Xenopus tropicalis: one gene and its partners. The protein of the gene in region 3 purifies or fractionates together with the protein of the main gene of each other region. This does not show direct contact. Links are inferred from orthologs where the notes say so. Each region holds a gene or a part of one and is shown on either strand. Other genes may lie near its edges. The genes, in order: ubxn8, ubac2 and tbc1d15.

What was found.
Region 1: the proteins of tbc1d15 (region 3) and ubxn8 purify together in Homo sapiens (affinity purification with mass spectrometry; 3 studies listed by BioGRID and IntAct, counting the BioPlex papers as one, with this or other methods). This does not show direct contact. The link is inferred for Xenopus tropicalis from reciprocal best matches to the Homo sapiens genes TBC1D15 and UBXN8.
Region 2: the proteins of tbc1d15 (region 3) and ubac2 purify together in Homo sapiens (affinity purification with mass spectrometry; 3 studies listed by BioGRID and IntAct, counting the BioPlex papers as one, with this or other methods). This does not show direct contact. The link is inferred for Xenopus tropicalis from reciprocal best matches to the Homo sapiens genes TBC1D15 and UBAC2.

What each region holds. Positions count from the first base shown.
Region 1 is NC_030677.2:97,448,400-97,455,622, forward strand, and holds part of ubxn8 (UBX domain-containing protein 8), read left to right. Parts: intron 1-1,134; coding exon 1,135-1,275; intron 1,276-2,221; coding exon 2,222-2,263; intron 2,264-3,876; coding exon of another isoform or gene 3,877-3,966; exon of another isoform or gene 3,967-4,805; intron 4,806-4,836; coding exon of another isoform or gene 4,837-4,947; exon of another isoform or gene 4,948-4,980; intron 4,981-7,223. UniProt on the Homo sapiens protein: Involved in endoplasmic reticulum-associated degradation (ERAD) for misfolded lumenal proteins, possibly by tethering VCP to the endoplasmic reticulum membrane. May play a role in reproduction.
Region 2 is NC_030678.2:121,148,747-121,156,590, forward strand, and holds the start of ubac2 (ubiquitin-associated domain-containing protein 2), read right to left. Parts: upstream 4,428-7,844; 5' UTR 4,246-4,427; coding exon 4,215-4,245; intron 994-4,214; coding exon 866-993; intron 1-865. UniProt on the Homo sapiens protein: Restricts trafficking of FAF2 from the endoplasmic reticulum to lipid droplets.
Region 3 is NC_030679.2:60,043,870-60,051,092, reverse strand, and holds the end of tbc1d15 (TBC1 domain family member 15), read right to left. Parts: intron 5,564-7,223; coding exon 5,447-5,563; intron 4,336-5,446; coding exon 4,249-4,335; intron 2,231-4,248; coding exon 2,018-2,230; 3' UTR 874-2,017; downstream 1-873. UniProt on the Homo sapiens protein: Acts as a GTPase activating protein for RAB7A. Does not act on RAB4, RAB5 or RAB6.

The DNA of each region.
Region 1 (7,223 bases), on a different chromosome or scaffold from region 3:
GCCATCTCACCACACAGATAAAAATGCATAAGGCAGTTCAGTACTGTATATTGTGGATGCCCTATGTAAGGCAAGTGTAAGGATATACAGACAAATGAGGTCCTCATTCTCTGCATTAAGCTAATAAAAAATATTAAAAAATATGTAAGTCGCCGGCGGGATGGCAGACGCGGTGGCGCGATTTCGCGCAAATCGCCGAAAAAGACTCGCGAGGCTTTTTCGGCGATTTCCCAAAATTGCCCCGCCGCGTCTGCCATCCCGCCGGCGACTTACATGTTCGCCGGTGGGATGGCAGGGGGAAGGCAACTCAGGGAGATTAGTCGCCCGCGAGCAGGGAGTTTTCCCGCGGGCGACTAATCTCCCCGTGTACCAGAGCCCTTAAGATATTGAGATTTAAATTACAGAAAGAATCCTTATCTGTAAAAAAAAAAAAAGAACCCTGGTCCCAAGCATTCCTGATAATAGATGTTATTATGTTGTTAAATGTTGTTATTAAGATGTGATACCAACTTTTTACATTTATGCTCTTAAATGTCTTGGCAGACATGATATGTTTATGAATTATAATATGCTCCCACTTTAGAACATGACTATAATTCTATGAAATGGAATTTAAGCCTCAAATATGATGGACTCAAGTTTTACAACTAATATATCAAGTTCCTTGCTATTCTTTTTTATATCGCAAAACCTTTTCCCAAAAAGCATGATGATGTGGGAAAAGATTTTGTGATTATATGAGAATATAGAGCTTTTTGGCCAAAGTTCTAAATCTAACTCTGCCCAGAGTTTAAAAACCACTGTATCTACATTGAAATATAGTCGTATCATCTGTGGGCTCATTTCCAGCATGCATTGTGCTTGTTAAGAAAGAAAACTTTGGAAAAAAAAAAAATGGAAATTCTGCAAGGGCACTTGTATCTGCCTGCTTAAAATTTAGTCCAGGGAGAATGTTCACCCTATAGCTGGACAGTGATTCCAAACACAAGGCTAAAGTAATACTAAGTAGTTCAAGAACACAATAGGTCTACAATGGCCAAATCAAAGCCCTGGTCAATAATACTAGTCAATTAAGTCTTAATTGCTACTAGTAAATCAGAAGCTAATGTCTAATGTTTTCTTTTTTTAAACCAGGAGGCTGAGGAGGGTGTGAATAAATGCAGTGATTCAGCCCATGGCACAGAGAGTGCAAATAATGAGGCTTTAAGGAAAAGAAAACTACCAGAGCAAGTCACCAAGCCCTTGCCAAAAGATGAGCAGCCCAAACCTAGAAAGGTATTTTCTGATTACATTCAGTGTATCATATGAAAACATAAGAAATATATTCTGAATGTTTTTGTCAGATTTGTATGTTTTCTGCCATCAAAGCAAACATAGGCAATACATAAACAAGTCTGATATGTCATTTTCATTTCACGCAGAGTACACGTTACATATATAATGTATTGCCGTTCCCTTTTCAGTTGAGGCACTGACCATGTTGCTGAATAGGTTACTTGACTTTTTGGGTGAAGGGGTGAGCCTAACCACTATACTGGCAAGTGATACTGCAGGGTCCTAACCGTTCTGGTCTTCTCAGCGGGCTTCTGGCTGCTCCAATTACTACCATGAGCCTTACTCTCACTACTAGAGTAAGCTAAAATAGAATCCTTCATGACACTAACTACTCCTACTGAGGCCTCAGGCTTTCCTGCACCAACCTCCCACTCCAGCAAGTGAGGTCTGAAGAGACAAAGAACATGGTTACTTCCCTTTTTGAAGACTAGGTGCAACTAACATTCCTGGCCAATCACAGAACTGCCAAGGAACCTGGAAAAGAAAACTGCATCCCCACCCACCTCTGAAATAAACCCAGCTCTTGGCTGATTTGCCTTCCTACATAATTAATGTTCTTTTTTGTTTGTTTTTGTTGTGTACACTTTAGGTGTAACACATATATTGGGCTCTCAAAATCTAATTCTTGCAAGTATAAATCTGCAGACGATGGAGCAAGTTTAGTAGATCTTTGGTCTAGAAATACACTAACCCAGAAATAGGTATGCCAGATCAAGTCACATCTCACCCACAATTGAGGCTTATGGGATCACTAAGTGCATGGTTCCAATTGCCCCATGCCCACCCACCATGCCACTTTCAAACTGCTTCTAAGCAGAGTAATGCTTGCAACTTTAATGCTCTAAAAAGTTCTTACAGCACTTAATATATTTTTGTCTATTTAAAGGTCATTGCTTTGCCAGAAGAACCTTCTGAAGTAGGGGATGGGGTAAGTAACATTTATGGTGCTTTTGATTTTATACTTATTACAATATTATTAAGGCCTAAGTGCTTTTCAAAAGAAGCTTAGGCAAATTAAGTGGCATCCAGGGTAATGACTATCCTTTTCACTGGTTGCCAAATGAGAAACAAAGGGCTTTTCTGTTAAAAACAGTGGCTGCTTATTATGCTTCCCATTGCCACTGCTACTCGGCAAAAGTTTTTAAATGTTCTTGTGTGCGGTAGCTTTCTGGGGCAGTGACATAAGCTGTTGCAAATTTGCCACTACTACTAAATAATCATCACATATGGCACCATTTCAGTAACTCAACATTGTAAATGGAACACTGACAAATACTAACAAATTCATTTTGGCATTTTACTGCCAATAGATTTGCCACATTAGTGCCACCTAGAACAATATATTTATTCTGCAGAAACCATTACCATACCTGAGTAAATCGCTTTAGAAGCTTTCTCCATTTGCTTAAGATAGCAGCTGCCATTTTCAGTAGCTTCCTTCCTGCAGTCTAGCCCTTTTAGTTCAGATCACACATTCCTAAGGGATGGGGTGGGAGTTCTTCGCATTCTAGTGGGAGTGAGGAGCAGGAGAGGGGAGAGAGAAGAGAACTGTGCAGACTCTGGCCACAGGAATTAAGGATGTTTCTGGGAGAGGAAGACAGACACTGGAACATCATGTTTACAAAAAGAGAGACCAGAAATCCTGTGTTTCTTTTGATAGTGCAGCATTACTGTTAGTGCTTATGGCTGTATTTACATAGACATTTCTGATAAAGCTTACTTAGTTTTTACCTTTTTTTCTCCTTTAAACCATTTACAACAACATTTTTAGTTGAGTATAATTAAAGAATGTTGCTGTGTTGACAGAGTAAGTCATTATATAAGGGCTCTGGCACACGGGGAGATTAGTCGCCCGCGACAAAACTCCCTGTTCGCGGACGACTAATCTCCCCGAGTTGCCTACCCCTGCCATCCCACCGGCGAACATGTAAGTCACCGGCGGGATGGCAGACGCGGCGGCGCGATTTCAGGAAATCGCCAAAAAAGACTCGCGAGTCTTTTTCAATGATTTGCGCGAAATCGCCCCGCCACGTCTGCCATCCCGCCGGCGACTTACATGTTCGCCGGTGGGATGGCAGGGGTAGGCAACTCGGGGAGATTAGTCGCCCACGAACAGGGAGTTTTGTCGCGGGCGACTAATCTCCCCGTGTGCCAGAGCCCTAAGAATTCAGCATTGTTAACAGGCATGCAGATTGGAACTCAAGAGGCTATAGATTAGGATAACTAAATAGACTTCTGCCAGTGAGTATGAAAAATAAGGATATTAGGGCATCTGTTAGGGCCCTGGTACTGCATTTTCAAGTCTGTTGCTGAGTTAAGGACAATCCTTTGCTTTGGCACACCTAGGGTATTGAAAAGCAGAGCTTCACTAAAATAGCATCTTTATTTAGATCAGCTAAAAATAAAATCCTTCTGGGTTATATTAGCAAGCAGGCACTTACTCAAAGGCACAAGTACATTATGAGAAAATACAGTCATGTGTGTGCAAGTGCACTATACAAAGTGCAATTACAGATAAAATTCACCATGTTTTTTACCCAGAATGGAGCATTTTCTCCCACACTTCCTGGTCGATTGCTGATGATTGCTGCGTCCATTTTTGCATTACTGCAATTGCAGCTGTGGTGGTAAATTAGCAATGATGTTTGCTGATAATAATAATCAACAAACATATTAGTGCGCCGAAACAATACCAATAGCAATAACACATGGAGAGGAGCACTGTATCGGGCAGGACTGAACCCAGGAGCAACAACTGCAGGTGGCGAACAGTGACACGAGTCACGCGAGTGACTCTCGATAAGTGCACCATATATTGTGTTTGTGAGTGTATCAGTTAAGTTTTTAATTGCATTAAAGTAAATATATTTTTACACATATGGCATTTGCCTCACAGTAAGTGTATCGAAAGAGAAGGGAAACGGATACGTTGTGGAATGAGTTTAAATTCTTTAATGCTGGGTATTTACCTATTTGGAGTGGTTCTTAACACTATCTATCTTTCTGGGTCAATGAAAGTGATATTATTGGATGTTACACAAACCCAAGTGGTCTGTAAGTAGAATAACAATTGGAAAAGGATATTTTGCGGACAAGAAGATGTGATATAAGTAAAGTAATCACTAGTGATTAATGGATACACATATGGAAGTGCATGTTGGAAAGTAATTAACAATATTACACTATATATTTTTTTTTCTTTTCCTCATCATTGTCACGTATAAGGCAGAAGAGGGCACGTCAGACTATATTTTGACCTGGGACACAAGGTATCTGAAGTGAGGAGCAAACACTGGAAATTGCCCTTCACTTTAGGCCAGTATTGTGAGAGCCACCTCCAGCTATCAATCCCTATGTGGAGCACAATGCCATTCCTTTTAGTTTTCCTTGCTATCTTATATTCCTCAAATGTAATCTAGCAATGCTAGTCCTATAATCTGACTAAACCGCATTGATGGGGTCCCTGTTCTTTGACTTTCATTAGAAGTGTTGTCTTTCTAGGGCAGAACTCTTTATTGGGCCTTGTGGAAACCAGACACATCAAGCTGGAGAGAGGATGGAAGGCCAAAGAGTAAAAACCACTGTTTTCGAGATCACTATAGTGATAACTAATCTATGGGCCAATAACAAAGATATGTAAATAAGGTAACTTAGATACACAGGCTTTTGTCTAGCAACTAGAGGAATAGCAGTTGTAGGGGATTTACAACATAAAAACTGTTAACCCTATTGGTCCCCACAATTACTTATGGCAGGTTAAAGCTGGTTTTCTGTGGAATGTCATGAGACCACACCCCTTAACAGCAAACACATGAAAAGGGAAAGTAAAGGAATGGAGCTGGGCTGGGAGCTGATGAATCTGCATTTGTACATATAACAGTAAAGCAGCTTGTTGTTTATATCCTCATATACACAGCACTTTAGGCTCATTTGCATTTGGGTTTGTACTGCTCACCAGCAAGCTTAGATCAGCTGCCTGCAATTTACACATGCAGATACAAACCTTAATTCAATATCCAGATACAGGTGTAACAAAAGAGTGTATAGAAGAGAATTCCTCCTTACAGGTGACACATCAATTTAAGCAATATTACAGACCTCTGCACAGGCAACTATGTGTGTAAAGGCTCCTGTATGTGGGATTCACAGACACCTCTCTATGGGGGGAATTCACAAAAGTGGTGATATTGAGACAAAATAAAAGTGGAGATAGATTTGCCGGAATTTCCACCATATTCACAAACCTCTGTATCCACTTTTGTGAATTTGTCTTTTAAACAGACAGTTTTCAGATTTTGTCATTTTACCGACATTTTGTATGAATTTGCCTTTAGCTCTTAGTAAATGTGTCGGTGCCCCCAAACCCAGTCCCACAGCTACAGGAGCCTCAGGGGAAGGAATTTACCCGCAGGATTTGGCATTTCACTTTGGGGCATTTCCTGAGGGGTAATTTTACTTTACCCAGGGAAACTATACATCATTCAGGCCAAGCTGGGCTTTCTATATTTCTGTGTAATTCCCCTTATGTAACGAGATGTAAGGGTCTAAATACCTTCTTCTCTAGCCCCTACTCATTACTGGGCAGCAGCAATCCGGCCCACACACCAACATGCCCAGTGATAGGGGCCCAACAGGACTAGGGCCCCCCGGGTCTTTATCCAGTGCCCTGTGGGGCCAGTCCAACCCTGTACCCCAATATCCCAGTTTGGGTGCCAGTGTGTAGGTGCTGTTTGCTGATACCCAAGATGGCTGCTGGGAACGGGTGGGGGCAATGCTGTCAGGCAGCTCTGTAGTTCTGCCCTTGCTATGGGGGCATAGATAAGTTGGGGCAAATGTCAGTGAAAATTTGCCTGGGAGGCTTTACTTTTCCTTTAAATAAAAATGTTTACAATATATTGTTCTAGGGTTAGACAAAAACTTGTCCCCTAACTATAGTCTACTAATCCCCATTAATATGTTAATGACCCCCCAATGGGGCCCCTATGAGAGGTGTAACTGAGCTTTACTCCATTTTGAAAATGTTGGGGAAAAATGTCTGGAAAAAATGTTAAAACGTCGTATAAATGTTGTTTAAACGACAAATTCACAAAAGTGTCTGCAAAAATGGAAAAGTGCGTATTCCATTAATTCAGGTGCAGGCACAGGTAGGAGGCGGATGGCGCTATTTTCGGCAATCGACTTTTAGCTTGCCAAAAATATACACCAGACGCCTTGTCTGACATTAGCCTTACTCTGCTAAAGCCAGTCCATGTAAGAAGTGGCTATACTGTTATCAATTAGCTTGCATACATATAAAGAGTGACTACAATTTTATTGCACAAACAGTAGCAGTAGTTACTGTAGTAGTTACTGTTCCTACAACAAAAGGCAAATTGTAGTTTTATATGAATGTGCAATTGGATGCCCTAAAGTTATTGTTTAACTACAACTCCCACATCACCTGCCAGCTTACTTGGCATGTATGTTTCAAATTGCTCGGTCTTTGTGGTAAATAACTTGATTGCTGCTGCTCAAAAACCAAGTGATATGTGGCTCCTTTCATGTTTTTCTTATAAATAACCAATAAATAAAGTTCCATGTGTTTGTTAGTGACTCAGGTGAGTGAGATGGAAAGTGTCAGACAATGTAAGGGGGAATTGGGTTGAATTTTTAGAGCTTCTTCAAAGTGTTTTCCAGGTTTCCTATTAGATAGGAAAGATGGGCAGGTGGGGGTTGAACTTTAGATGTCAGTCAAGAATGTTTGGACCCCTCCCACTCCTCCCTGCTCAGAACACAAGCTGCCTGTAAGTACTAAGCCAAGTTAAAGGAAAACTATACCCCCAAACAATGTAGGTCTCTATAAGAATATTTTGCATGAACAAGCTCATGTGTAAAACATGATATATCTA
Region 2 (7,844 bases), on a different chromosome or scaffold from region 3:
AACAATTGTTTTTAGATCTGATTCCATTTGTACCATGTACCACCTCTGTATTCATTTTATTAAATTTACATAGCTTAAAAATAATAAGATGGCAAAATACAGTTAAAATATAGCTTAATATTACATTTAGTTAGCTGGAAGGCAAGATTTCCTGTAGGCTGTGAAGTTTTAGCTACATATATAGGTTGTGGTTTTCTGTTGTGCTGCTACGGACCGTCATCATTCAGAAATAAGTAACATCCTTTTTGAAGGCTATAAAAGTTATAAAAGTTTCTCTGGAATCTTTGGGTTAATGTTCCATATGACAAACATGAATTTCATAAACATACTGCTACAGTAAGGCCTTAATATTGACTTTGCTTACATTTGCCCAAGCACAATAAATCACTTAAAGGAGAAAGAAAGGCAAAGTCACTTAGGGGTGCCAAAATGTTAGGCACCCCCAAGTGACTTAAAACGCTTACCTTTTACCCCGGGCTGGTGCCCCTGTTCGGAGAGAACAGCACCAGCGCTTCCTTCTTACTCTTTCTCGTGCACGCGCATGCGCAGTAGAGTGAAAAGCCAAACTTTAACAGAGAAGTCGGCTTTTCACTCTACTGCGCATACGCCGACCGCTGGCATTTTAGGAAAAGGAAGCAGGAAGTGCTCCGCTACAGGTACCCTGAGCTGGTGCTGTTTTCTCTGAACAGGGGCACCAGCCCGGGGTACAAGGTAAGCGATTAAAGTCACTTGGGTGTGGCTAACATTTTGGCCCCCCCAAGTGACTTTGCCTTTCCTTCTCCTTTAACAGCAGTGCGGTAATTAAGCAGTGTCAGCAATTTATTTGAACAAAGTATAATTGTGAGCACAGTATTAGTCAACTTACATGAAAATCGTCTTTTATTGCTTTTATATTATAGAGAAACAACTCTTGTTGCTGTTGAAACAAAAATGTCAACACAATGGAGAGAAAGCTTGGGATAAGTAAGAGTCCTTTGGACAGCGGGGCTTTATCTGTAGATAAAAACACAAAAACATGTACTTTGCACACAATACATTTTCTATTAGGATAATTATTATCCTTTACATAGCAGCAAAATATTATACTGTGGCTTAATGAATATTAAGTAGGGTTAGCAAATTTTCTTCATATGGACACACTGCTTACTAAGTAAATTTTCAACATTATATGTTCTTTTAGTTCAGGGACATTTTGTGTGAAGAATTTTTTACTAAAGAAAATTAAATTTTTTCAGGACATCGTAAGCTTTCAATATATGTATGAAATAGTGTGTAACGACACGTTGGTAAAAAGATATATAATTCTTAATATATAAAACTAGCATACTTTTCATAATAAAAGTATATGTTCTAGAAGCATTAGCAGTGAGCACACTTGCCCCTTGGAGTGGGGGAGCTGACTTGTTTAAAAGAAATGGGGCTATTTGGCAATAGGGACAGCATGTGGGAGATTATTTAAAAAAATGACCTAACCCTTTAAAGTGCTTTTGTGTTTCTTATTATTCTGTTTATTTTGTCCAGCTTATGTAGAGAGTGCCTTGCTCAAACAAAAATTAAAGAAATCTCTAAGAAAAAAAAGGCTGTGACTCTGGAAAGAATCAGATACATGTGCATTCAGGGTTTCATCTTAATAATAAAGGAGGTTGCAGTTACTGATTAATTGCATGCATTTACATATATTCTAATTTTAAAATGCTTTTGTATGAATGTTTTGTATGGGTTTGTGGTTTCCTGTAAGGGTATTTCCAATAGCAGGGACCTCATTTTAATTATTTTACTTCTCATTTTCAAAATGTAAATTTGCCCAGAAAAACAGGAACCAAAGATGTTCTTGAAGGTCAGTGCTGTAGTAAGTAAGGTCAAGCTGTAAGTGCACATTTACTAAAGGCTACATGCAACCTGGAATCACAGACCCTTTTTGAAAGCTGTTGCTGCACACTGCTCCAGATTAAAAATCTTGACATAGCTGTCAGGAACACAGGAAAGTTCTCCTCAGTGTACCCCGGTGCTTACACGTTTTGAACAACACAAATGCTAGGGACATTCTTAGGCACACCCATGTGCCACCCACCACTTCCTAAATGCAGAGATGCATTCTAGGAGGACAAAGTTCTATACAGGCCCAGATTTGTGGTGAGGCCACAAAGGCCCGGGCCTAGGGTGGCAGAAATTTAGGGGCGACATGCTGCCCTGCCGCACCAGAAAATTTTGCCGGCATATGGAGCAATGGGGAGAGGACAAGCATAAACTTTAGCGCGTCCTCTCCCCAATGCTCCATATGAGTTGTGATGCACATGTGGGGGGCTAGGTAGATGCATGTGCGATCGAGGTGGGCGGGCGGGCGGCCATAGGGGGCAGCCTCGGGGCGCCCCAATCACAAATCTGGCCCTGGTTCCATACAAAGAAAAATAAATCCAGATAACTTTAATTCATTAGGCAATGGAATGATGTCCTTTTGAGAGTCTAGAAAACAGCATATCATAAAAAAAATATTAATATATTAATGTCTAAATGAAAATTATTGGAAGGCCATCTCCCAGATACTCCATTTTAATCAAATATAATTCAACATTTTAAAAAGTATTTCCTTTTCCTCTGTAATAATAAAATAGTACCTTGTAACTTGATCCCCATCTAAGATATAATAAATGCACAGTGGAGGCAAAACAATAACACAGGTATGGGATCCCTTATCTGGAATCCTGTTATCCAGAAAGCTCTGAATTACGGAAAACCCGTCTCCCATAGACTCCATTTTATTCAAATCATTCAGAATTCTAAAACTGATCTCCTTTTTCTCTGTAGTAATAAAACAGTACCTTGTAACTGATCCCAACTAAGGTATAAATAATCCCCCCAGATGCTGAAAACCCAAATATGGCACTACAAGCCACAATACTGGGCTCGGTTGAAGCCATGGAAAACGCCCCATACCGAACACAAGGAGACATACAGCATACTACCCCTATCATAAAGCTCACGCATAGACTGTGGCTCATGGCACTGCGCAAATTAGGTATAGACCCACCACTGCTTTCACCCAGGCTCCCCCTCTGGAACAATAGTAACCTAATTCACCTTACGCAACTACCTCAATTCCAAATCTGGCCTATAGCAGGTATAAAAAGGCTCAAGGATATACTTGAGGAGAACTTGTTCCCCACATACACTGATCTTAGAAGCAGGCCCTTGCTGACTGATGCTAAACTGTACCAATACTTACAGCTGAGGGAGGCATTCGTGGACCAATTCCGGGAAACATCCCTAGTATATGAGAATTACCTGGCCTAGGATCCAGGATTTCTGGATAGACATCACCACACATATGTCAAGTCACCTTGCCTATCCTCCCCTCCTCTCATCATACGCCTGCTTACTCGGCATCCTGGAGGACCAAGTAGGAAGCATTGCCTCTAGACTATTTGCCCGATCCCTACTCTACTATGCTCGGAAATGTATTATACTTCGCTGGATGGGACCCAAACCCCCCCGGAAAAAGCAATGGATCAAGCTCATCAACGGAGCCCTACCCTCCATTAAATTGACATATCTTGCCAGAGGATGCCCAGCAAAGTTTGATAAAGTATGGCAACCATGGCTGGATGTGGAAGGGGACCCCCTGCCTACAACAGCAGACACCCCAAATTTACCATATTAACCCCTTAAGTCTCACTAACCCCAATGCGAGCAAATGTGCAAACTCCCTACCAACCCTTCTTCCCTTCTCCTTTTCTCCCTTTTCTCTCCCCCTCTCTTATATTTGTTTTATTTGTTTGGAAAAAAAGGAAAATAAAAACATTTAAAAAAAAAAGGTATAAATAATCCTTATTGGATGCAAAACAATCCTATTGGGTTTAATTAATGTTTTATTGATTTTTTAGTTGACTTAAGGTATGGAGATCCAAATTACAGAAAAACCACTTATCCAGAATACCCTTTTTCCCAAGCATTCTGGATAACGGGTCCTATACCAGTATTAGGTTTCTTCAATGTTTAAACAATTTTTTAGGAGACTTAAGGTATGGAGATCCAAATTACAGAAATGTCCCTTGTACTGAAAACCCCAGGTCCTGAATAACAGGTCCCATACCTGTACATTTATTGCTAACATGGTTTCATTTAACAGCTTCTGAAAGGTTATATTCCAAATTTACATGGCAAAATATAATACTCATACACACAGCCACAGCTCTGTGACAAACTTTACTACTTACAGAGCCCGCTCGAACCAGTACTGGCAATCATGATGGCTTTTCACCTGTCCACAGCAAACGTCAAAGCAAACATTGATCACCTTCTGTTGAAGAATAAGTTACCGGGATAGGTACTTCCAAAAATACAAGTATACACCTTTTACAGCCCCGGTAATAGGTAAACTACCTATAGTAGATTGCACTATACTCCTGCATAGCATCCTTAGGATTTAAATCTGCAAAAAATGTAAAATAATTGAATTGAAAACTTGAAACTTAACCAAAATTTGTAACTCAACATAAGCAAATATTGCTGCAAAATAATGGAAGACATGTTACCAGAAAAGAAAAGGAAAATATTTGCAAATCTCAGATTGGTACTACGGTCAGCCTGTCTGCATTTTCAGGCCAAAGCCTACACAGTATAGCTGCACACAGGCCGACCCAGTGCCTGTCTGTGGAGCTACACATAGCTGCGGATGAAAGCAGATCAACTTTTTTTTTTTTTTTTTTTTTAAATGTGACTGTGCCCTAAGTTCCCACAGCCTTCTTAATGTTGCACATGGCACAGGTACTGCCCTCATATGTCCTCGCCCTCAGCTTTATCTAGTTTTTTTTATTTATTTAAGTCATTCTTGAGGACTTCCACCCTCCTCTAAGTTTGGCATTGGTTCCAATGTGTACCAAGACTGCTGAGTCATACCTATCCCTAGCACCTCTGAATAGTCTCATTCAACCATATGCCAAACCAGGCAAGCAATACACAGTTTGTGTGTAGGGTCCTTGCAACAGATAACCCAATCCACAGGGTGTTGGGTCCCAACGCACAGGTGAAAAATCCTTGTATTATATACACACTTACGAAGACAGGTGCTAAACTGACAAAAACAACAAGTCAGATCTTTGGTGTCATATTATACCTGCACCTGTGCAATTTAGCATCTATGTTTGTAAATCAAACATAGTATGTCCTGTGTAACGCGGAGGTGCTATAAAAAAATAGGTTTGTTCCCATGTGGAGAATACAGGCTCCAAATTATTTTAGTCCTCAACTTCAGTCTACCTATAAGTTTTTTAGACCTATTTGCCAACATTCACTTTCAAATAAAGATGCAGATTGTGCTGACAAAGTCTGGCATAAGCATGTAGTTTGTTCTGAATTCAACCCCCTAAATAGAAGAGATTGGGCAGCAATGACATAGCCTTGCTTTCATACTAATGCTGCACTCTATCCCAAACTCTCCATTGAACCACATGCAAAGTGCATTACCCTCCTAGGAAGGTCAGAGGTGCCACTGGCAACCTACAAAATCCACCAGCTCCCTATTAGAAAAGTACCTAACCTTTGCATATATATGAATAAAGGCACTAAGGCAGAGTATATCAAGCCTAATTGTTTCCTGCTGTAAGATAAAGCTAAGACGCAGGCGATCAGTATCCTATTATACCCACTACTTCTCATGTGAGTACTTGGTGTATTACTCAGCTGTAAACATACAGAACGCCTGCCTGTATAAATTCACAAACTTTACGTATCTCTTCCTCTTTTCCAACTACTGTGCTAGTCCTTAGAGCGCAAACACCGTCCTGATACTATAAGCCCAACAACACGCACAGGAGGTATATCTTAGCGATTACCTACAAGCAGGAAGCCATTGCAAGGAAACACATATCATTAGACTACTACTCCCGTCATGCATTGCGAAGTACAGTTACGGGTCGCGATTTGGGGCATTTAAGGTAATGAGAATAGAGAGATCGAGCGTAGCAATGCAAAGAATTTGCGCTAATATTCCCATTTACCAATTACAGGAGTTAAATGTGAACTACATTAAGCTACACTGTAGCCGCCCCCACACTGGGGCGCCTTATAGGACGGGTAGAGTGACCCCTGGGATGTACCCTAATATTTACTAGTGGCGATCCCTACCCAGTATCCAGCGCCGTACAGATAACTTAGTCCCATTATAACCACAGTAAAGCAATAACGTTAATCTCACACTTATCCACCCGTGTGGCATTCGGTAATACTGTTAACCACTTAATGATGTGACCACTGAATTAACCATGAGTGCCCTTAAAAGATTTTCATCCACTTAAAGATTTAACTACTTTAACATTAGTGCTCTCAAGTTAATGCCAACCAGACTTGATAGGCGGTGAGTATCATTAGCGGGCTCTTGTACCTTGGTACATATCTTCTTGGTTTCTTGTATTCCCTTATACTTGGTATTTTATTTAGTCTACTTTCTGGTTTCTACACCTTTTGTGCATAGTCACTTCAACTCTTGGTGTAATACCACCGAAGTTTCTCTGTAAATATGGACCCACTTTTTTAAACTGGATCCACTTGATGGCGACCCACCCTCTACTTCAGTGATCCCCAACATTTTATACCTGTAAGCCACATTTAAATGGAAAAAGTGTTGGGGAGCAAAACAAGCATGGAAAAGGTTCCTGGGGGTGCCAATAAGAGCTATAATTGGCTACTTAATAGCCCCTATGTGGACTGGCAGCCTACAGAAGGCTCTGTTTGACATTATACTTAGTTTTTATGCAACCAAAACTTGCCTTCTTACTAGAAATTCAAAAATGAGCACCTGCTTTGAGGCCACTGGGAGCAACATCCAAGGGGTTGGTGAGCAACACATTACTCATGGGCCACTGGTTGGGGACCACTGCTCTACTTAGTTTGTACTTAGTTTATTATTTTTCATGTAATATATTACTGTATACCTATATGGCTTTGAGAGTGCTAATAGGTTTATATAGTTCTTCCTGACATACAAAAAGAACTCTCCCTATTAATACTTCCGTACATATTGAGTATCCTGGCACTTTAATCTGATTGCTAGGGCCTTGTGTCCAGGAGACAAATTGGCGTTGCCACAGTGTACACCTGTCCATTTGATGCAGTCATGGAAATTACTATTATACCAACCCTTGGATTGATGTAATATGCACAGATTACACTGATATTAATATATCAATTATAAACATATATAAAACTATAGAAACAAGTGAATGAATAGGTGTTGCCATAGCAACACGCACCTATGTTTTTAGTAAGGACACGCATACTTTCAAGTAAGTCTTTAGGTTACTTTATGTGACTCCTGCTTCACCACGGTACACAGATTGGATAGCAAAACTGTGATTTCCTTCTACAAATTTCTGAGACTTTGCATTCTCTCGCATTTTTATGCAGATATTGGCTACATGTGCCTGCAACCGAGCATATTCCAATCATTCGGGTGCAGGCACAGGTAGGAGGCATATGGCGGTATTTTCGGCAAGCGTTTTTCAGCTTCCCGAAAGTATACGCCATATGCCTGGTCTCTCATTAGCCTTATTGCATACATCTTAGGGCATTCCAGCAACGTTTCAGGCCAGGTGTGACCTTTTATCAAGATAACTGACAATCAAACACCTTCCCAGTGGACACAAACTTGTATGTAGTAATATAGCAAACCACACAGTGTATCAAAAACAATGTATCAAACATATAATGTTGCCATCAGTGTATCAAGTTTTCATCTTTAAGTGTTCTTTAAAATGCAGAGTAAAAAAGTCCATATTTTACAACCTGTAAAAAGATAAAAGCATAATAAAAACCACATAGAGTTTTTTTGTACATATGGGAGGAAGTTT
Region 3 (7,223 bases):
GTAATAAGAGTAGAATCATTAGGTTCCCTGCCATACTGTCAATGTTATGAGCCACTGTGACAGTCATTCAAAATGTAGTGGTAGGAGTGTTAGTGCCACAGACGAGGCATGAGGGTAAGATAAATTGTGCAGGCCTGTGAAAGGGGTGAGGAATTCTGACTGAAGCAGGGTGTTTGTATTAATTATGTTAAAGCATCAGTGAAGGAAGAGAAATGCCAACCCACTGTCTCCACTAAAGACACAATTGGTCCAGGCAGTCCTAGGAGCTCTGTTGTTCCATATAAAGGTAATAATTATTGCAACTGCAATGTATTGTTTTGGGTACAAGTTAATTGTGACTATTGAGATTTAAGTGCTAAAAAGTGTTTTTTTAATGGTAAACATGTAATTCTAAACATTTTTCCAATAAATAATTTTAAAGTGATTTATAAATGTGAATCAAAGTAGTATTTCTCTCACAACTCCCTCCTTTCCTTATGCCACACATTCTGGGTTCTCGGCCTGTGGACAATCGCAGGCTGAGAATCTGTCCCTACACTTGAATCAGCACTCTTCCTTGTCTGCATTCGGAGCCACGGTGCAGAGTGGATGTGCGAGTATGCACTAAAACCAACTGTGTGTGCTGTACCTGGGCTGGAGCACTGGCTCCTGGTACAGACACAGAAGAGCACCGATTCAAGTGTAGGGGAGATTTGTAGGCCTGCATTTATCCACAGGCCGAGAATCTGCCACGTTTGGCATGAGCCTAACTATTCGTAACATTATAACACTGTATCAGCAGTCAGATCTCCTCCAGCCAAGCCTCTAATTTCCCCATCATGCATATTGTACAATTAACACACCAAACATTAAAGCAAAGGAAAAAGCTGTGTGAAATATCTGTACAAATCATTACAGATTTATTTATTTACAGTATTTACTGTACATTTAATACATTTAGCAATTTATTTTCAAAACACATAACCAAAAATCATGCGGGACACTAAATGCATCTCAAGCTGAAAATGCACGATTTATTGAGACTGTTAAATACATCTGATTGAATCACCAGTGTGAATATAAACCAATTCCAACACCAAAGTAACAATCTGTTTTCATATTGTCCTCACACCATTCTGCAGCAATATGTGCAGCTTTGGGAGCATAATTTAATGAAAATAATGCTTTGCTTAATAAAAATTATTTCCTTTAGGTTTTTTTTTTTTACTAACATAGGAAAATATTGCAATGCTGAGTATTAACTGAAAGGAGTAATATTCATATGCAGTTTGGTTACAATAAATGTTTAAATTAACATTTAGCTCAAAATATATCAACGTTATCTCTTTAACATTAAATGAAAGCATTTATAAGGATAAATGTACTTGGGAATGGCAAGGGAAAGTTAAACTCAGTAATCAGATTCCTTATTAAACCTTAAGTAGAATTAGGAAAGTACTAGAGTCCCGGTCTTTTCTGAACTATTCTTGTATAGAAAGATTTATGCATTTTAATTGCTCGTGTATTATTTGTATACATTATATCTGGAATCCTCAGATACTTTCCTATGGAATATTATATTAGACGCTGTTGAACACTGCAAAATGTGATTACAAAAAACAACGTAGTTGAGTCCTCCTTAAATGCACACAATTTTCAGTAATCTGTTATTACTACAAAGTAAGGAAACACAATTCGCAGTTATAAACAAAACTTCTGTTTGTTGTACTTTTTTTAGGAATATAAAACACATGATCTTCAAGTTGCTTTATTTTCATTGCTGTCATGTAAGCCACTAAAAATAAATATTTTCCAGTTTACAATGTAAACTTGCTTTCTCAGTGACAGGCTTAAGGAATGACAGAAACAGAATAGAGGTGGTTTGTGTCCACTAGAAAAATAATTTGTTCATATCTTTCCTTTTGAAAAGCTCTAATGAAAAGTTGCTGCTGTAGATAAAAATGTTTGAAATTCTCCAAAATCGTCTTACGTGAGTTTTCTTCAGTGAGTCCCCCTTGGTTCACAGGAATTTGTGTTATCAGGCAGAAGTTGGTGTGTGAACACTGTTTGGCAAAGTTTGTAGGGTTGCAGCACTTTTTGTTCCATTGGCAGCAATAACAGGCACTGGGACATATTGAGGTGATGATTTTTTATGTTTTTTGGCAAGATTTTCTTCACTTGTTGCTTCATTTGGTCCTGCAACACCATTGTTCTTTATGCCAATAACATCACAAACATTCAGTGGTAAATCCTGCAACAAAAAGCAAAGCAGAACTTTTACCAGGAACACTGTGGCCATCAGGTAGGCATCATGGCATTGTGACTGATGCTATTAGCATGGGGGTCATTTGTACATTAACAATCATAAAAAAATCAAGATGAAAGTCTATTTCTAGGTTGCACGTCAAAATCAAAGATGTATTTGAGCACCTAAATGGAATGAATATATTGTTGAGCACATGCTAAGAAGGCATATATCCAAGGTTCTATCATCAAACTTTTACTTTAACTTCCATTCTTGATTTTAGATATTTTTGTGTGCCTACGGGCTGCACAGCAACCCATTAAAACCTAAATTATAGCTTTCTGGTCCCCCTACAATCTTCCAGGTGCTGAAATGAACAAAGCACAAAAAATTTAGTAGCATGGTACTGTTTTACATAACATAGACATCCTTGTTTTTGGTACTCACAGTTATGGCTCAGATAAGGCCATGGCCCATAATTAAATGCTAATTAATCAAACAAGGGTGTTAAATTTGCTGCTACCCACTTAAACATTCTATAATTAATGGTATTTAAGGTCTGTCCTAAAACCTCAATCACATCATACAATGTTGACCACAAAAACATAAAGGGCATCACAGAGACATATATTCTTCATAAAGCAAAACAGCATTTAGATTGTAAGCTCTGGTGAGCAGGGCTTTTTACCTCTAGTATACCTCTTTTTACCTACATATAGATTAGTTGTTACATAGTGCATGAGGTAAAAAAAAAAGAAGACAAACCATTGGACCAAATTCCAAAAGGTCAACTGGACCAGTCCCTGGATCAACTCTGTAACAAAGTAACTTCAGTTTTCTTGTGTTTTCTCTTGTTACAAAACCATTTTTTTAAACAAATGTATCTGCAAGTATAGCTGCTTCATATGGGACCTTACCAGGGCTTTTTAAGCGAAAAATGTGTCCCTTATTGCTGCTTATTAACACTGCTTGCTACATTTAAGATTATTATTCATGAGTAATTCAGGGTACAACACAATCAAGGATTAACCTTAGTTCCATTAAGGTATAAGTCGACTGCATCTTTTTAAATCTCAAATAAATATGACCTTACATTAGTCAAAATGAAATCTCATCTACTACTCAGCTAGCCCAAACTAATAACAGGGATAACACTTCTTGGATGTATTTAATTGTCCCACTCAGTTTTGCAGGTTTGTGTCATGCTTTGAATGCATTTATTCAAGTTATTAATAAAAAATTTAAATTAAAGTGGACCCATAAGGGAAACCTGTGGCATATCACTTATTCGTCCAATATTAGACCAATTAGAGAATGTATCATTGATGACTACAATTTGTACATGGTGAGAGATTTCGCTAAAAGATCCCAATAACAAATATAGACTGCTTATTCAGAAACTGTAAATAACATATTTCCTTTTTTTCTTTCTGCCAGACAATACTTGGTGTGGTACAGAGCAACCCAAAAACCATAAAAGCTGTGATCATGGCAGTCAAGTGCTAGAGAAAAGTCAACCTAATTTTTCTGGCAGTTAATGAACCTAATAATAAACTTTTTAGGGGTTGTTGTTTGCAAGTTAAGTGATAAAATCATTTTCTGTTGTTACCTTCTTGTGTGCTGAAGTACCTATAAAGACCAGCATATATTTAAATACACAAATACCTGCATATATTTAGCTTTAAATGCACAAAGACCTGCATATTTTTAGCTTTAAATACACAAAGACCTGTATATATCTGGCTTTAAATACACAAAGTCCTGCATATATCTAGCTTTAAATACACGTCATGTAGCTATATGGTATTCAGTATTTTCAGGTCAAACCCTTTAATGATCTAATTTGTATAATACATTTTTGTTAAAAGCTGATATTGCTGACTATTGTATAGTTTCTACATTAAAATGTAATCAAGGCATGCAGCTCATATGTTTTACCACATCTAAAACAGTACAAAAAAAAAAAGACCTGCCATTTCTATCCCTCCAAATTGACATGAAATATGCAGCCTACATTAAATTACCTTGCACTTCATCATCTGCAAAGAAATAGCTTCAGCTTTGCTTAGAACATCGTTAACATCCAGCTTCATGGAAAGTTCATTGATGTGCTAAATAACAAAAATGACAATAAATAATTTCCGGAGTGAGAAGGCAGCTGAGCAGTGATTTACAATGATCTTGTAGACCCAGTAAATTTAAATAAACATTTTTCGAGCCTAAAGATTTTGAAAAAATAACAGTGCTGGTGTTGATAATGGTTACAGTTATAGAAAGAGATTGTCTTTTTATTTAAAAATGTATGTATTTTAAACGTATACTGAAGATGTTTGAATGGACTGGCATTTCATGACCACAGGGTGTTGTGTGCGCATTAAATAGCAAGTAGCGCAATTACAGCCTGGGAGAACTTAGTGAACACTGTCGCTACCCTACATAAACTTACGTATGAGACTAGGGGCGCACCTGATAAATTTGATAGAGTTTGGAGTCCTTGGTGTGACTTAGAGGGTTACTGAGGAATTCCACACACATATACATTTTATGACTCACAGAGTCTTCCCACCTCTTTTGACCCAGCTCGGTTGGTTGATGGACCCAATATGCTGGAACTGCTGTCAGATTCCATACTCTGTAATGTTATACCCATTCTTTTAATGTCTGTAACAAACCATGGGGACAGAGTCTATTCTAATGGTATAATTGACCTGGAAAAGAAAGACTAGCGCTTTATCCTCTTGTATTGTAGGATGTGTTACCTTCCAAAAAAAAAAAAAAATAGCATGTAGCTTAACAAAAATAGAAAAGGGCAACAGAGGTATATCTAAACCCAATTTAACTGGAGATGTTTTTGATTTGAATAAATCAAATTTTAAAAATATTTAACCAAATTTCATTTTGGCACTGGTGCATCCCACTCAGCAATTATTTTGTTTTTGATTCTTAAGCTGGTCAGACACAAGTTGGGGGGGCAGAATCTACCCAACTATTCTATTGGAAGGTCAACTGCCAACATCTATACAATATGGCAATAAATTTGGATTTCTAAACTTCAGTTTCAACTTGGGTCAGTTTATTTTATCACTCAGAACAGACATAGGGATGATATAAAATAATTATTAGTCATCTTTATATCTATTTTGTCTGCTCAGTTTTGGTACAATAACACTAGTGGCTGCTTAACCAAACTGCCATAATTCTAAGACTAATGACTCTACGTACCTTAAGAATTTCATTAAATCCAAAATGTTGCTCCATAATTACTTGTTTTTCTGATTCCAGGATAGCACAGCAAATAAGCAGATGAAAATTCTGACAAGGAAGATCTGTCCATATTACCTGTAAAATATAACCTATGTTTATTAATATATGTGGTAAATGTCACGGTAAATAGGGCACACACCAAAAACTCCGTAAATGCTTCAGTGCCAAGTATGGAGAACAGTATATAATCGAGGAATAGACACAGCACTCACAGGACTTTGTATTGAAAAAATGTGATCCTTTATTTGTGCAAAATCGATTTTTCAATCGAATAAATATGTGAAATAAAATTTTCTGCTTCTTAAGGCCATAATTTAGAAAGCACTGGAATACCAATCTGATTCAGTTATTACTGAAATTTCAAGCAATATAAATACTAAAAGGAAGTTTAGAAACACATTAAGATAGCAGAGAAGAGTTATGGGCTATGACAGATGGATTGGATGCTCTCTTCAAGCATATGTCAATCTAGTAACTGTATGGCAAGCGGCAACCTATTTGTAAGACAGATGCTACATGAGTGCCCTCACCTGGAGCCTAGCACTAAGGACATTTTATGCAACCAGAAAACTGCTTCTAACAAATCAGAACACTGCTCTCTTTCTTTTACACAAAGTGAAACATTATGCATGTACTCTATACAGACAGTGATAAAGGTTTTTTGTTTTTTTTAAAACAAATATGGAGTTTCTAATAGTTTAGAAGGCAAATAAACTTACATATAGATAATGAGGTGACATTAGTTCAGACAAAAATCTATAATAGCAAAGATAAATATCAGAGTGAACAGAATTGAAGCCATATTTCAATACATCCATTTGTGATTCCCAGAAGGGAAAGATATGGCTGTTGATAAAAAATAATGTAAATTTTTTGCTATAACCACCCCACTTAAATCTACCATTACTTACCATGATTATTAGCTTCATTACCTCTGCAACATAAATCTTTAAACCACACTTTATAATGTCTTCTTTTATAACATATGAAATGGAAATCTGTTCCTATAAAACACCTTTGGTACCCATGGACATTTTATTCACTACAGTATGGGTAAAACACTACAGGGTGAGGCAGGTTATCCAATAATTATCCCTAACAGCACAGGATACATCTATATAACTAATGCGGGAGCACAGAAAACATAAAAGCCTAATTTATTAACACATCTGTACTGTATTAACACATCGTAAGACAAAAAATGAAAAAGCAAGGGTTACCACTTTTTTCTGTCAATAATACCAGCCTTTGGGTTGGGAGCAGTTTGCAACATCCTTTTGGGGAGAGGAAAAGGTGAATGAGGCCAGGAAATGGGCGTGGTTATAGGCGGAGCAGAGGGCAGCTCATGATTATAAAGAGTGATAGGAAGCGGAGAGAGTCGCTGAAGGGAGGGATTTATAGGGCATTACAAATTTACCAGCAAGTACATTGCTGGTAAATTTGTAATACAGGTGCTGGCCCTAGCTGGTGATTAAACAACTAGGCTGGTCAAATACTGGCTAGGTGGCAACCCTACTCACAAAGGAATTAACATAGAGCAACTGGAGGTGACTTTGGGCCATTTGATGTTTGTTATACATTTTCTACTTAACATGAAAGTTAAAATGGCTTTGTATATATTCATATAAACAGGGTCAAAAGTCATTTATGCCTCTCTTCACATGTAACATAAACAAGAGCCGATACAAAAATGGTGATTTTCATGCACCATGTTTCAGCATTCTGGTGTGCACTC